Sus scrofa: one gene and its partner. The protein of the gene in region 2 interacts with the protein of the main gene of each other region in a pairwise test. Links are inferred from orthologs where the notes say so. Each region holds a gene or a part of one and is shown on either strand. Other genes may lie near its edges.

Evidence for each region. The genes of interacting proteins can lie anywhere in the genome.
Region 1: the proteins of UBE2L6 (region 2) and RNF144A interact in a two-hybrid assay, tested with the Homo sapiens proteins (2 studies listed by BioGRID and IntAct). The link is inferred for Sus scrofa from reciprocal best matches to the Homo sapiens genes UBE2L6 and RNF144A.

Annotation. Positions count from the first base shown.
Region 1 is NC_010445.4:128,765,887-128,773,990, forward strand, and holds part of RNF144A (E3 ubiquitin-protein ligase RNF144A), read right to left. Parts: intron 5,002-8,104; coding exon 4,794-5,001; intron 1-4,793. UniProt on the Homo sapiens protein: E3 ubiquitin-protein ligase which accepts ubiquitin from E2 ubiquitin-conjugating enzymes UBE2L3 and UBE2L6 in the form of a thioester and then directly transfers the ubiquitin to targeted substrates.
Region 2 is NC_010444.4:13,363,501-13,370,534, forward strand, and holds the end of UBE2L6 (ubiquitin/ISG15-conjugating enzyme E2 L6), read left to right. Parts: intron 1-2,641; coding exon 2,642-2,828; intron 2,829-4,794; coding exon 4,795-4,946; downstream 4,947-7,034. UniProt on the Homo sapiens protein: Catalyzes the covalent attachment of ubiquitin or ISG15 to other proteins. Functions in the E6/E6-AP-induced ubiquitination of p53/TP53. Promotes ubiquitination and subsequent proteasomal degradation of FLT3.

The DNA.
Region 1 (8,104 bases), on a different chromosome or scaffold from region 2:
TGGAAAATAATCATCAAAAAACTGAATCAGCCAGTCTGACTTAGGGGGAAAAAGAACAAGATCAGCACATAGAGACAAACAAGAGAAACTAGGGCAGAAGGCTGACAGCGAAAGTCTCTGAGTCACGGGATTCGGGCCAAACGCCAGGTCCTTATTCCTATAGTTGTGTGCTTTCCAAAGGGTTGATAATAAATTATGTGCTCTTTGCTATTATCAGAAAAAAAAAAAGGAATGTTAAACAAACACACACTGATGGAACTAGAGATTCTCACACTAAGTGAAAAGTAAATCAGAAAGAGAAAGACAGACACCGTATGATATCACTTATATGTGGAATCTAAAATACGGCACACGTGAACCTGTCTACAGAACAGAAACAGACTCAGACATGGAGAACAGACTTGTGGTTGCTATGGAGGGGAGGAGTGGGATGGGCTTGGAGTTTGGGGTTCATAGACGCAAACTGTTCCATTTAGAATGGATACCAATGAGGTCCTGCTATATGTATAGCGCAGGGAACCCGATCCAATCACCTGCTGGAGATATATGAGAGAGACATTATGTATAGACATATGACTGGGTCACTTTGCTGCACAGCAGAAATCAACAGAATAATGTGAATCAACTATAATTTAAAAATTAAATACACCCACGCACACACTAACGGCTTAGGAAGATCTACTTGGCTCCTCTGTACAGCGTCACTTTCCTGATTGGTCTGGGTGGCCCTGCAGTGGCGAGCATGGCAGGACTGAAGCCTGGGGTCAAGAGCTGGCTCTTCTGACACCATCTGGGTGGCAAGGTCTCTGAGCCCCAGTCCCCCGTCCGTGTGAGCCTGATGGTTCAGGTTATGCATGAGGAGCACAGGGCAATGCCCGGTGTGTGCGAAGTGCCCAACAAATGAAAGCAATGATTCTCCACTGCTCATCAAAGGATGACCTGCGGTCTTTTAGGTTTGACTCTAGAAAGATGTCCACCCCATGCTACTCATTTTATTTTTGTTTTTATTTATTTTTTTGGCTGTGCCTGTGATAGCTGCAAGTTCCCAGGCCAGGGATCGAACCTGCACTGTGGCAGCGGCAATGCCCGATCTTGAACCTGTTGAGCCACCAGGGAACTCCACGCATGCTATTAATCTTAAAAAGGAAGCTAAAAAATGAAGGGAATCCTCTGGAAGAAGCGGCCAAGGGCGGTCGTCCCTGGTGATGGGGCATGTTTGCTATATTGTGTGAACTCACTGCGTCTACTCAACATCACTGGGAGAAAAATGACCTTCCCTTGGGGCGAGGAGCTTTTTCAGAACCTAAGGCGTTCACATATACCCATTCACCGAAACTGAGCAAATGCTGGCATTTTGAGTGCATTCTGGCTCTTCCACAAGCATCACAGTGCACGTGAGGGTTAAATACAGCCTCACTTTGCACTAACCTGAGCTTCCACAGGATCATGCCCTTGGGATTTTCCCGTTTGCTCACCAGCACAAGGAGACCAGTTAAGAAGCACCGGAAGGAAGAAGCATGGCCTTGGAGTTAGCGGGTCTGGAGACAGGCACACAAGGCCTGGCAGTGCTACGTGTGTCTCATCAGTCTCTTTGCCCTCGGACATGAGGCAAACTGCATCCACATCAGAGGGGGTGATGGAGATGAAAAAAGCTTTCGTGTACTGAGCACACAGAAACCAGCACATCTCTAGCAATCACTCAATAAATGGTGGTTGTCAGTAATACCGTTACTGAAATGCAATAAAACGGTCTCCAGCTCAAATCTGTCTCTAATTTAACAGCAAACTGCAGACCAACCTGGCTGCCCAGAACGTGATCTACAAGGAACCTGGGTTGTCACAACATGTGCAAACGCTTCCAGAGACTGGAGGAGATGCCAGCTGCCCCCCTGGAATGAGCTTGATGTTTAGCAAGCGCCCAAAGTCACGAGGCATCCAGTGCCCAGATCAAGGTTGACTCTCAGGTTGGATAACATTTCAGTTTGAAAGCCAAATATGCCCTTAAAATAGTGCAACCGATTTTCTCACGTGGCTCATAAGATATACCCTTTTTTTCTTTTTAGAGCCACACCTGCAGCACTTGGAGGTTCCCAGGATAGGGATCAAATCTGAGCTGCAGCTGCCGGCCTACGCCACAGCCACAGATCCGAGACGAATCTGCAACCGACACCTCAGCTCATGGCAATGCTGGATCCTTAACCCACTCAGCAAGGCTAGGGATCGAACCCGCATCCTCATGGATGCTAGTCAGGTTCATAACCCACTGAGCCACAACAGGAACTCCACTCATAAGATAATTTTGAAGAAAAAGCCCTGATTGGAAGGAATATGCATGGAGTATGGGGAGTCCCTTTCAGGGTGCTTTCCGAGGAGAAATAGTTAAATTATGAATGTTCTAGGGCACTAAGGTGTGAAATTTACATGGTAGTGTCGCTGATGTTCAAACAGTTTCTGGAACCTGAATTACATTCCAAATGATTACTAGCAACAGCTCTAACTATGAACTCAAATTTGTGAAGGCAGGGAGGAGTCCGGACAGTTTCATCACACTCTACATGCGCTGATGTCTTTAAGGAAGAACATACAACATGAATGAAACTTGTCAGGTGGTGGGTGGGAATGGGGGATAAAGGGAGAGTTAATCAAAAGGGAAAAAATTACACTCAAAAATAACCAAGGGTGCGCTCCGTTATAAATGATACCTGATGGTCAGCCTAGGGACTAGGGAGACAAGGGGGAGTGGTGAGGACTGTGGCCAAGTAAAGATTCCAGAAACCCCTTGTAAAGAGGGGGCTGCTGCTCAGCTCAGCTGACTGTCTCCAAGTGGGAATGCCATTCTATGTGGCTGGATAAGCCAGAAATTCAGATTTTTATAAGAAATCTTTAGGTTTTCAATTTCTACAAAAAGAGATTTGTGAATTCTTATTTAAATTGCCCTTGTGTCCCTTTTTTTTTTTTTTTTTAGGTTGCACAGCCTCATTTTTTTCATTTTGTTGGTTCCTATTCTTTGTAAGGTGTGTCACGAGGGACTTACTACTCACATACAGCATGACATTGTGACGTGACTGTGGCCCTCGGGCAGTGACCTACATGAGACCAGCGCATGGGGGATGAAGAAACACAAAGAATCAGGCTCCCAACAGCCACCCCCTGCATCCTAGGAAGGTTTTATGATTTTAAGCGTCCCTCCTCCATCCCACAGGAGTGGGACACTGGCTCTTCCTGACTCCTCGGCTCCCTGCTTCCAGAACGGAAGCCCCCTCACTCACTAAATGGGGGGCTTCTCTTCTCTTAAACAGTCACCTGCTGGCTTCACAGGGGCACTTCCCCCCGGGGCACTTCCCCCGCCTGCCCTCTGTGTGCTTCTTTGCCAGCCTGGAAATCCAGCCCCTCACCCCCAACTGTAAGTGGATCCAGAGCCCAACTGTAAGTCAAGTCATCTTTCTAGCATTTGAGCACCTGCTGTATGCCAAGGCTGGGGTAACAACTAAGGCAGGAGCTCGGCCGGCTGGAGGATCCAGTCACACAAAGAGATGGACTAACACCCAGCAAGGCTGTGTTGTCACCAAGGCAAAAGCTCTCCTGCAGGACACAGAGGGTGGGCCCCCAACCCTGCCTTGGGAACCGGGACTCGACAAAGGAGGGGATGACAGCAATGTTGCCAAGGGTGACAAGGAGTTTCTGGGAAAACAGGGGGGCAGGGAAGGGTTGTTCCAGGCACAGGCACACAGGTGCAGACAGGAGGCCACAGGAATGTGACCCGGGGTCGCCCAGAGGGTCCCTGTGCAGGCCGAGCTGCAGGGAGGGGGTGGGGGCAGCAGAGCAAGACAGGCTGCAGCTGGTGACACCTGTGGCCGATGGCGGGAGTGACTCAGTCAGGAATGTGGCCTCATCTGGCGCTGGGCCCCTGCCTCTAACTAACTGAACCAGACACCACTGCAGATACTGTAGGACAAAAAGCTGAGTATTACCAATTTCTTACGGTTCAACCTACAAAATCTCAAGGTACACCCAAGGATGCTGAGGTGGCCTCCTGGGCATCCAGACAAGGGACCCGCCAGGGGACAGGACCAATGTGCTGATTTACATGTCCTTCCTGACTGGCCCCCCGTTTCCAGAAGTGGCCGCCTAGGCCTCAGGCCCCAGAGCTGGTTTCTGGTGATCCTTCTGGTATTTCTAACTGCCGCCCCTCCTCTGCTCCCTGTCCGGCACCCTGGTTTCTGGTCATCTTGGGGAAAATTTCATGGATCAGAGGGCTCACAGCCCTGCAGGGTAACTGATCACATGTCTCTCTTTCCGGACAGGCAGATTGAACTTTGTTAACTTACGCATCTTTATAGTTTCAGGGCCTCGCACAGTGCCTGGTACATAATCAGCTTTCCAATATCAATAATAAACAGGCGTTCCTGCTGTGGGAGAGTGGGTTTAAAATCTGACTGCAGTGGTTCAGGTCTCTGTGGAGGTGCAGGTTCTGTACCCTGCCCAGTTTAGTGGGTTAAAGGATCTGGGGTTGCCCCAGCTGAGGTTCAAGTCAAAGCTGCACCTCAGATTTGATCCCTGATCCGGGAATTTCTGTATACCATGGGTGTGGCAATGAAACAAATAAAATATAAAATAAAATAAAAAATAAAACAAAACCACCCAGCCCCAGGTCTGCATGAGACCCAAGAGAAAAGCATCATGGAAACTGGCCAGCACAGCCCGGGCCTCCCTGAGGCACCTTTGGGGAGGAGCCTGCTTCCACCTCCAGCCCTCGGGCCATGCCCACTTGGCCGCCTGTGTCCTGAGCGTACCTGGTCTCCCCAGGAAGGAAGGTGATGGGCATGGTCTCTGGGCAGCCTTGGCCAGGGTGCCAGCTGGCTTTGCAGGCCGAGCAGAATTCCGTGTCGCAGGCTTTGCACTGCACCAGCTGTGGCGTCTGTAGCCCCATCTCCTGGAGCTGGCACACAGCCTGGCAGGTGGACGCCGGGCACCAAGTCCGACAGGGGTCCAGGAGCACCTCTGGCACAGGGGGGAAAAAAAAATGGGTGCGTCAGTCCGCAGGACCAAGGATCTGGCAGAACTTTGGACGGAAGGTCACATCAGCGTGTGGAGAATGTCAAGGTCAGACATAACACGCCCTTCACCATCCAGGGCCTGTCTGGCTTTCTCCCCTCTCCAGCCACACCCTACCCCCACCCCACTCACACTGGGGGGCAGCAGATCCCCACCCCACCCCCGATCCTCAAGAACCCCTATATCCTGGAAGCCTCAAGGTCCAGGCCGTGCCTCTGGCGTCCCTGCCCGCCTGCCCAGGACACGGCTTCCACCAGCCAGGCTCCAGCCTCAGGCTCATAGCCTCACAGCCTGGCCCAGTGAGCAGCACAGTCGGCACCCCAAAATGCCCACTAAGGATGGAAAGAAAAGAGAGAAGGCAGGTGGCCGCCTCTTCCTCTCATCAAAGGCCTCATCCGCCTGTGACTGCCTCCCGCCAAGTTTAAGTCAAAGCACTGAGGTGAGACCTGCGCATTCACGCTCCAGCAGCAGCTCTTCCTCCAAAGTGGGCCCGCAGCACAAGAAGCCTGATTTAATGAAGTCGTCAGTCCGTTTACTTTGAGAAAGAGGAGGGCCTGACATTCCCATTCCTTCGTATCTGCATTCACTTCTCGCATCTCTTTAAATGATGGTCCCGAGCTGCCCTTCCTGGGAGCCTGGTTCCTCGTGCCCTGGACCCTTTGTCCAGTATGACTGGACCCTCAACTACAGGCAATGGACAGGAAGCCACGTGGATGCTGATGCAAGGCCCAAACTCCGGGGAGGCCAAAGGATCACAGGGTCCAAGTGAGCCCCTGAGGCCCGAACTGTTCAGCAGGGTTGCCCTTGAGAAGGAATCCACTGCCTTGTGCTGGGAACTGGGAGACGAGGAACGGCCCTGCAGGTGTCTCGGCCACGTGAGCAGCCATCACTGGAGTGGGAAGCTTTACCCACGTCAGAACTGCAAGCACTGGGACCTTCAACCGGCCAAGGCTGTCAGGGGCTGCGGACAGGCCACACCTGAGTTTGCCACGTTCCCCATCAAATGCAGAAGTCAGATTCTGCCCTCGATGAAGGAACTCATGTCAGGTGCAACCTGACTAAAAACTCCTCCTCCTCCAATCCCAGGGCTGACAGGGAGTGTCAGTCTTTGAGGGCCAGCGGTTTTCCATCCAGCGACTCAGCTCCACTGTGGCAGCGCAGAGGCAGCCATGCTGACTCGTGACGGAGTGTTCTAATAAAGCTTTATTCACAACGCCAGGATGGGGGCCGAGCTGATCTGGTCCACTGGCCATGGTTGGCTGATTCCTGACCTTTTTTTCTCTTTTTAAGGTGTATTAATCAACAGTATAAAGCTATCCAATGGGTGGGTCTGGCAGAAGTTTTAGAAGTCTTGATAATACAAAGGAACTCTGGCAATCAGGGAAATGTGACACTTTTTAATTGCTTTTCACTGTAATGATGTAAAGGCCTCCTGGTGCGCCTCATGGTGAGTGGAGGGGTAAAATTAGCTCTTGTCATGAGCTGAGCTGAGTGTTTGCTTTTCTAAGACTGTTTCTGGCTGTCAGATCCGAGGAGGTGGTTTTGTGGGAAAAGGCAGCTGTTGCCTCCTGGGCACACGTGTGGGGGCAGCTGCCTGTAGCTCCCTGGGCTGAGAAGCAGGAAAAGGCAAGGGAGGGAGGGGTGAGGGGGTGGCCCAGGGCAGGGGTGCTTCCAGGGGGCGGAAGAAGTATGCCCTGGGAGGAAACGGCAAAGGCCTCTGGCAGGGTTCCGCACCTTCTACCTGGTAGTGCTCCCCTTCCCCCATCTGAGTCACACTCCTGCCCCACCCCCATCCCCCCACCAGCTCTGGAATTTCTCTATCAGCTCTGCCTCCCACCTGTGCGGATGTGAGCAGGGCTCTGCCTCAACCACGTCTCAGGGCCCCGTTGTGCACGGCATCCGAGGACCGTGCTGCAGAGTGTGGGCGCTGGGCGTGCAAACATGGGCGGACAGGTGCAGCTACCTCCTCGGCTGGGTGTTTCACTGCCGACCTGACAAGGCGTGGAGTGATGGTCCACCAGAACACCGAAGGGACAGTGCTGTCCAACTGAGATCCTTCCAGTTCCTCCTGCTCTCCTTCTTCTGTGACCTCATCAGGGGACCAGCTTTCTACCTGCATCTCGGGGCAAGCGCCCAAGCGTCACCTCCCCACCACTCCTCTCAGAACAGGAACAAGAGCGTGTGTAGTGACTGAGCTGCCTTTTCATGAAAGGCCCAATTAAGTTCTGCAGCACACGGCAGTGGAGACCTAGTTAGGGTTTCCATGGTAATGACTTAAATTGTGTGACTTCTGTCCTTGAGGAGCTGTGACACAGCACCACCCATCTCCGTGGGAGAGTCCCTGTGGGAGAATCGGGGGGCAAACGGCCCGCCCCATCCATCTGCCAGCTCAGAACTCTTCCCTGGCTGCTGGCACGTGTGCCCCTCCTGTGAGCACAGCCCGGGCTCCTCCCTCGGGCGTCTAGTAACACCTGCATCATCATTCTCACTGCTGAACTCTGCCAGCTGGGGCACAAGACGGGACTCCAGCAATAAGAAAATCCACACAAGGCAACATCAGAGTTTTTGTTTCCAGGATGTAAAAATACATATGTATCTATGTCTATCTACCTACCTATTATTCTATCACACATATAGCTTACATGATGTATGAGATACATTATATCTTACCTGTTATGATACATAAATATTGTCCCTAATATTTATATAAGTGCATATTTGCATAGAATCTATTTTTAAACAAGGCAAGCAGTGTATTTTCTGGCACAGGAGAAGAAACTCATCTAACTCCCATTTCCCAGAGAGATATGCATAATAGATTAATGAAGCAGGTGCCCAGAAGCCCTACTTATCAAAAAGCCCAAGACTCTTTAAAAGGGTGCTTTTCTTGCTCAAACACGGTTGTCCTTTGAGAAGCACGCTGTGAAGGGCAGCAGGCCCAGAGACCCCTCTCCTTCTGGTCCAGCACTCACTGCCCTGGGTATGTAAATAAACACCTGCAGCGTGGCAAGGTCGGCATCCAAACAGAGCTCAAGTGTAGTGCGGTGAG
Region 2 (7,034 bases):
GATTTGTTAACTACTGAGCCATGACATGAACTCCTGTTCTTTTTTTTTTTTTTTTGTCTAGCTTTCTTCACGTAGCATAAGGTCTTCAGAATTTATTTGTGCTGCAGCATTTATCAGAATGTCCTTGCTTTTTTTTTTTTTTTTTTTTTTTTTTTTAAGGGTTGCACCCATGGCATATGGAGATTCCCAGGCAAGGGGCTGAATTGGAGCTATAGGTGCCAGCCTACTCCACAGCAATGCCAGATCCAAGCTGCGTCTGTGACTTACACACCAGCTCATGGCAATGCTGGATCCTTAACCCACTGGGCAAGGTCAGGGATCGAACCCGCAACCTCATGGTTCCTAGTTGGATTTGTTAACCACTGCGCCACGACGGGAACTCCTGTCCTACCTTTTTAAGGTGGAGTAATACTCCATTGCATGGATATGCCACATGCGATTAATATATTCATCTGTTGATGGATGTTTGGGTTGTTTCAGTCTTATGCTGCTGTGACCCACCCAGCTATGAACCTGGGTGTACAAATACCCGTTCGAGTCTCTGCTTTGAGTTTTTCTGAATAGATACTACGAAGTAGAAGTGCTTGATCATATGGTAATTCTGTTTAATTTTTTGAGGAACCGCCATATCGTTTTCCACAGTGGCTGCAGAATTTCTTTCCTAAGCCCCTGACTTCTTTTGATTTCCTTATTTTCTCCTTTTCCAAGCACCCAGCAATGACATTCTCCTGTACTTGCTAAGAGCTCCCTAAGAGAAAGTGTCTATCCGTGTTCCCATTGTAGCTCAGTGGGTTAAGAGCTTGACTAGTACCCTTGGGGACGCAGGTTCGATCCCTGGCCTCCCTCAGTGGGTTAAGTATCCAGGTTTGCCACGAGCTGCACATAGGGCTTGGATCTGGCATTGCTCTGGCTGTGGTGCAGGCCAGCAGCTGCAGCTCTGATTGGACCCCTGGCCCAGGAACTTCCATATGCCACGGGTGCAGGCATTAAAAAAAGGAAAAATGTCCATCCTTCTCTTCCATAATTCTCAGATGTTAAAGCTGAGTTGACTGTTTGCAGCAACATGAATGGACTTAAAGGCATTATGCTAAGTGAAATAAGTCAGACAGAGAAAGATAAATATTGTGTGATCTTACTTATATGAGAAACCTAAAAACAAAACTCATAGGAAAAGAGATCAGACCTGTGGTTGCCAGAGGTGGAGGGTGGGGGAAGGGAAAATTGGATGAAGGCAGACAAAAGGTACAAACTTGCAGTTGTAGATAATGACTTGGGATGTATTGTATAACATGACTACAGCTAACACCACAGTGTGATAGGCAGGAAAATTGTTGAGAATAAATCCTAAGTGCTCTCATCACAAGGAGAAAAAATTTTTTCTTTTTTCTTTTTCTTTTTTTTTTTATTATTATCTATATGAGAAGGAGGATGTCAGCTGAACCTACTGTGGTCGTCATTTCACAGTATATTTAGTTCTCATTGTGGTGCAGCGGAAACAAATCTGACTAGTATCCATGAGGATGCAGGTTCGATCCCTGGCCTTGCTCAGTGAGTCTGGGATCCGGTGTTGCCATGAGCTGTGTTGTAGGTTGCAGACGCAGCCTGGATCTTGCATTTCTGTGGCTGTGGCATAGGCCAGCAGCTGTAGCTCCAATTCAGCCCCTAGCCTGGGAACCTCCATATGCTGTGAGTGTGGCCCTAAGAAGCACAATGTATTTAAATCAAACCATCATGCTGTACACCTTATTATTATTGTTATTTTGGCTTTTTAGGGCCACACCTGAGGCATATGGAAGTTCCCAGGCTAGGGGTCGAATTGGAGCTACTGCTGCCAACTTACAACACAGCCACAGCAACACAGGATCTGTGCCGAGTCTGAGACCTACACCACAGCTCACAGCAATGTTGGATCCTTTAACCACTGGATCAAACCTGCATCCTCGTGGATACCAGTCAGCTTCATTTCCACTGAGCCACAACGGGAACTTAAACTTAGTGATATATGGCAGTTATATTTCAATAAATCTGGAAAAGTGTAGATATAAATTTATAAGTGATATATATATAAATGATATATAATAAAAATTAGTATAATTATCAATATAATAAAAAGAAGCTGAGATGGTCTTTAGGGCTCATCTAACCAAACTTGACTATTTTTTTTTTTTTTTTTTTTTTTTTTTTTTTTTTTTTTTTTGTTGTTGTTTTTTTGCTCATATGAGTTCAGTAGGTCAATCGAGCTGTAACGCTACGCAGACACAGCAACGCGGATCGACCGCGTCTGAACTACCATAGCACGGCACGCAGATCGTTAACCATGCCAACAAAAGATCGGAAAAACTGGACGGGACCTATCAGAGGACTGATGAGAGGCAGCTGGTTGTTGGTTGCACCGCAAAAGCCTGGGTCTAGCTCTTGGGACTGCCAGGCCCCGTGTCCTTTTGGGACTCCACTCTTTCATGAATCCACAGCTCAGTTGCCAGGTGAATACAGGTGCCATGGGTGTCCCTGTTTATGGGTCTTCCTCGGAGTGGAGCAGAGGATGCCTGGGACCCTAGGGTGGGGGGCAGGGAGAGGGGGAACCCAGACCAAGGGCCTAGGAGGAAAATGAGCTTTTCAGAGTGGCCCTTCTCTTGCCCAGGAGAAACCGCCCTACAACCTCAGGGCCTTCAACCTTCGCATCAGCTTCCCGGAGGAGTACCCATTCAAGCCCCCGACGGTGACGTTTACAACTAGGATCTACCACCCCAACGTGGACAGCGAAGGCCAGGTGTGTCTGCCCATCATCAGCAACGAGAACTGGAAGCCCTGCACCAAGACCTGCCAAGGTGGGCTGGGCCCTGCCAGAGGAAGGGACCCATGCTGGATGGGGTCAGAGGACCGCTTTTGAGTTAGAATAGCCCAGAAGGGAGGAGATAAAAATTGTGAGTCTAGGCGTTCCCATCGTGGCTCAGTGGTTAACGAACCCAACTAGTATCCAGGAGGACTCAGGTTTGATCTCTGGCCTTGCTCAGTGGGTTAAGGATCCGGTGTGGCTGTGGCTGTGGCGTAGACTGGCAGCTGTAGCTCTGATCAGATCCCTAGCCTGGGAACCTCTATATGTTGTAGGCACGGCTGTAAAAAGACAAAAAAAAAAAAAAAAAATTTGTGCATCTCAGCTGAGCCTGTTGTCAGAAAGCAGGGATGCATTCTGAGATCCTGAGCTGGCTGACCTGCTCCTGACTCTGTTCTCATACCTGGGCAGGTGCGCAGAGCAGTGTTGCTGAGGGAAGGAGCTGGGCTGTAGCAGGTAGGGCTTGGGATAAGTAAGGCCACCCAGGGACCTTGGTGTAGTCTCTGTTATTTCCAGGGTTCAGTGCCCTACATGACAGCTGAGGGGATTGGCCTAATAATGCTAATACACATGACTTAATTAAACATTTTTGGCACTGTGCTGAGAGCTTTGCATGCTTTTTTTTTTTTTTTTTTTTTTGCTGCATTTGCAGCATATGGAAGTTCCTAGGCCAAGGACTAAACCCGAGCCACGGCAGCAGCCAAAACTGCTGCAGTGAAAACACCAGATTCTTAACCTACTGAACCAGAAGAGAACCCCACAAATGTCATTTTTTAAAAATTCACTTTCAGTGGCGTTCACTGGTGGCTCCGTGGGTTAAGGATCTGGCATTGTCACTGCTGTGGCTCCGGTTGCTGCTGTGGGGCAGGTTCAGTCCCGGGCCTAGGAACTTCCCCGTACCTGGGGCATGGCCAAAAAAAAATTCACTTTTTTAAAGATTGAAATATAATGTATTTACAGTGGTGTGTTAGTTTTATAGTAGTTTGTATCTGCTAATCCCATCTCCTGATTTATCCCTCTCTTCCCCTTTCCCCTTTAGTAACCACAAGTTTGTTTTCTATGTCCGTGAATCTGTTTCTGTTTTGTGAACAAGTTCATTTGTATCATATTTTAGATTCCACATACAAGGGATATCATATTTGTCTTTGTCTGACTTAACTCACTTAGTATGACCATCTCTAGGTCCAGCCATTTTGCTGCAAATGACATTATTTTGTTCTTTTTTACGGCTGAGTAATATTCTGTTGTGTGTATGTATGTGTGTATACACACACCACATCTTTATCCTTTGATCTGTCGATGGACATTTAGGTTGCTTCCACATCTTACCTATTGTAAAAAGTGCTGCTATGGGAGCTCCCTTCATGGCTCAGTGGTTAAAGAACTCGACTAGGATCCATGAGGTTGCGGGTTCGATCCCTGGCCTTGCTCAGTGGGTTAAGGATCCCATGTTGCCATGAGCTGTGGTGTAGCTCGCAGACATGGCTCAGATGCTGTGTTGCTATGGCTGTGGCGTAGGCTGGCAGCTGTAGCTCCCGTTCAACCCATAGCCGGGAACTTCCATATGCCATAGGTATGGCCCTCAAAAGACAAAACAAAAACCAAAAAGGAAAACAAAAACGGGAGAGCAGAGTAGTTCTTGTTGAAAGGGATAGAACTCAGAAACTCCATTTTTCTCCCCGTGATGAGAAGCTTCTGTGACACGATGAATCAGAGTTAGAAAACTGCTGATGTAACCAGGAAGGGCTTTGGGCATCATCAGCGAAGATGGTGAGGGGCCTTGGATGCGGTTGTAGAGCCATCCTGCGACATGGACCCTCCTGCGGGGGTGGGGTGGGGGTCCCCCCCACAGAGTGAGCGTGGCATTTTGGCGGCGGGGGTGGGGGAGGGAGGGAACCACCACCTTCTTCCCAGGATTTTTACTTTCCGTCCTGATGTCGGGATCTGACCTCTCTCCACAGTCCTGGAGGCCCTCAACGTGCTGGTGAATAGACCAGAGCCAGGGCAGCCCCTTCGGGTGGAGCTCGCCGACCAGCTGACCCAGGACCCGGAGCTGTTCAACAGGAAGGCCGAAGAGTTCACCCTCCAGTTCGGAGTGGACCGGCCCTCCTAACTCTGCCCGTGACCCGTCTCTGCACCAGATCCTCTCTGCGTGATGGACGGACATACCGCACGGATGGGGAGCCAGAGCCCCTTTGTGATCCTGCTCACTTCTTCCAAGTTTTCCCTTGTAGGCTGTTAGTCATTAGTGTGTGTGTGTGCGTGTGTGTCCGTGTGTGAACGCGCAGGTGTGTGTATGGGGGGGGGTACAGATGTTTGTGGTATGTGGACCCAGGGCCCACAGGTGCGCTTGTCCCACTCCCTTTTTCTGCTCCAGAGCCAGGGACATCGAGGTTTGCAGAGTCACAGGCCAGCTCTTCTGGACTCTGTGAGATGGGATTCCTGGTTTCGCTAGTTGGTCCATCGTAGAGACTCAGGCCACCTTCCAAGCCAGCTTGTGGGCAGTGAGCCCAGCAGCTGACCGGAATCCCGCGCCATGGTCCAGGCACGGGGTGGAGGGGTGGTGGGGTGTATGGGTAGGAGGCAGGTCCTAGGGTGGGGATCCTTTTCACAATGGATCATTTTGTTGATTGAGTGAATGAGATCAGCCAGACCGCTGATAGGTACACATAGATTTAGGTGCAAAACCTTTTCTCTTCCACTGATGAAACATAAAGTGAAAAATCTAATCTCAGAGTTTCCTCATGGCCCAGTGGGTTCAGGATCTGACATTGTCACTGCAGTGGCTTGGGTTGCTGCTGTGGCACGGGTTCGATCCCCGGCCCAGAAACGTCCACATGCCTACATGGTTTCAAAACCACTTGCTGTCCCATTAGGTTGCTGGTTCCTGGGGACCAGGCTTTAAGCAGAGAGAGGTCTCCCCTCCAGCTTCCAGTCCAGGGGGGAGCCACGGCGACCATGTGCTTGCCCAGCCATTAAAGTCACAGATGAACTGTGGACTCCAGCTGATTGTTCATTGAAGAATGGGGGTTCATTGGGAGAAGAGGAGGCGGGGATTTAGCTGCAGTATTTTTTTTTTTTTTTAGGGCCATGGGTGTAGCATATGGAAGTTCCCAGTCTTGGGATTGAAACAGAACTACAGCCACCAGCTTCCGTAAGTACACTGAAGCTCACGGCAATGCTAGATCCTTAACCCACTGAGCTAAGCCAGGGATTGAACCCTTGTCCTTATGGACACTAGTCGGGTTTGTTACCACTGAGCCACTCCTAGCTGCAGTCTCATAAAAGATGTGACCTTGCTTCCATTTATGTTTGGCTCTGGTAACCCCAAGCCTTGTGGGGAAAGCTGGCCATGAGGGACCAGGCCACCCTCGGCCGGAGGGGTCATCAACATGTCCGCAATAGTAACATCCCCATTTTATGGGTGAAACAACCAAGGCACAGCTTCAGAGGGTTGCCAGGTCCACGCCGCCAGTCAAGGCAGAGGGCACACCTCTGGCCACAGTGCCACGCTGGCTGGTTTCTGTGTCTGTGATCTTCGTGAGCTGTTCTCACCAGCCCACGTGCTGCCGAGTGGCTGATAGAGCCAGGAAGGCTTGTTAGCAGGAAGTTGTAACTCAGCTCTCAGTTATAAGGAGCAGTGGAAAAACACAAGCCAAAACTTCAGCCAGAGTAGGAGGGATTATCTTAACTCGAAGGAAGAAGTTTCTGGGTGCAATGGTTCTAAGCTCCTGGATAATCACTGGCTTTTAAGAGACAGAATATAGGGTATCACTGAATCAAGGGAATCGCCCCAGGCCCCACTAGCCTAATATGGGAGACGTTTCTAGAGAATCTTCTACTCTGGCCCTTGCCCTCGGATTCCGTAACCTGACAGAAGTGTGGACAGAAGCAAAAGCATTGGGAAAGTACCACTCGTGGCTGGAAATGTAAGATGTGTTGTTACTTTGGGCCACCACTTACAAAACACTTAGGTGACAGGCCCTAGGTGAGGCTTTTTGTCCTCTTGCAGGTCTCATTCAACCCACACAGCTCCTCCATGAGTTTGAACTCCTGTTATTCCTCTTTAGACAGTAAACTGAGGCTCAGAGAGGTTAACTCACTGACCCAGGGACACACAGCTAGTGAGTGGTGGGACCCAGGCTGCTATCCTTTCCCAGATGCCCTTCATGGTTGTTGAGAAAATCATATCAAGTGATTT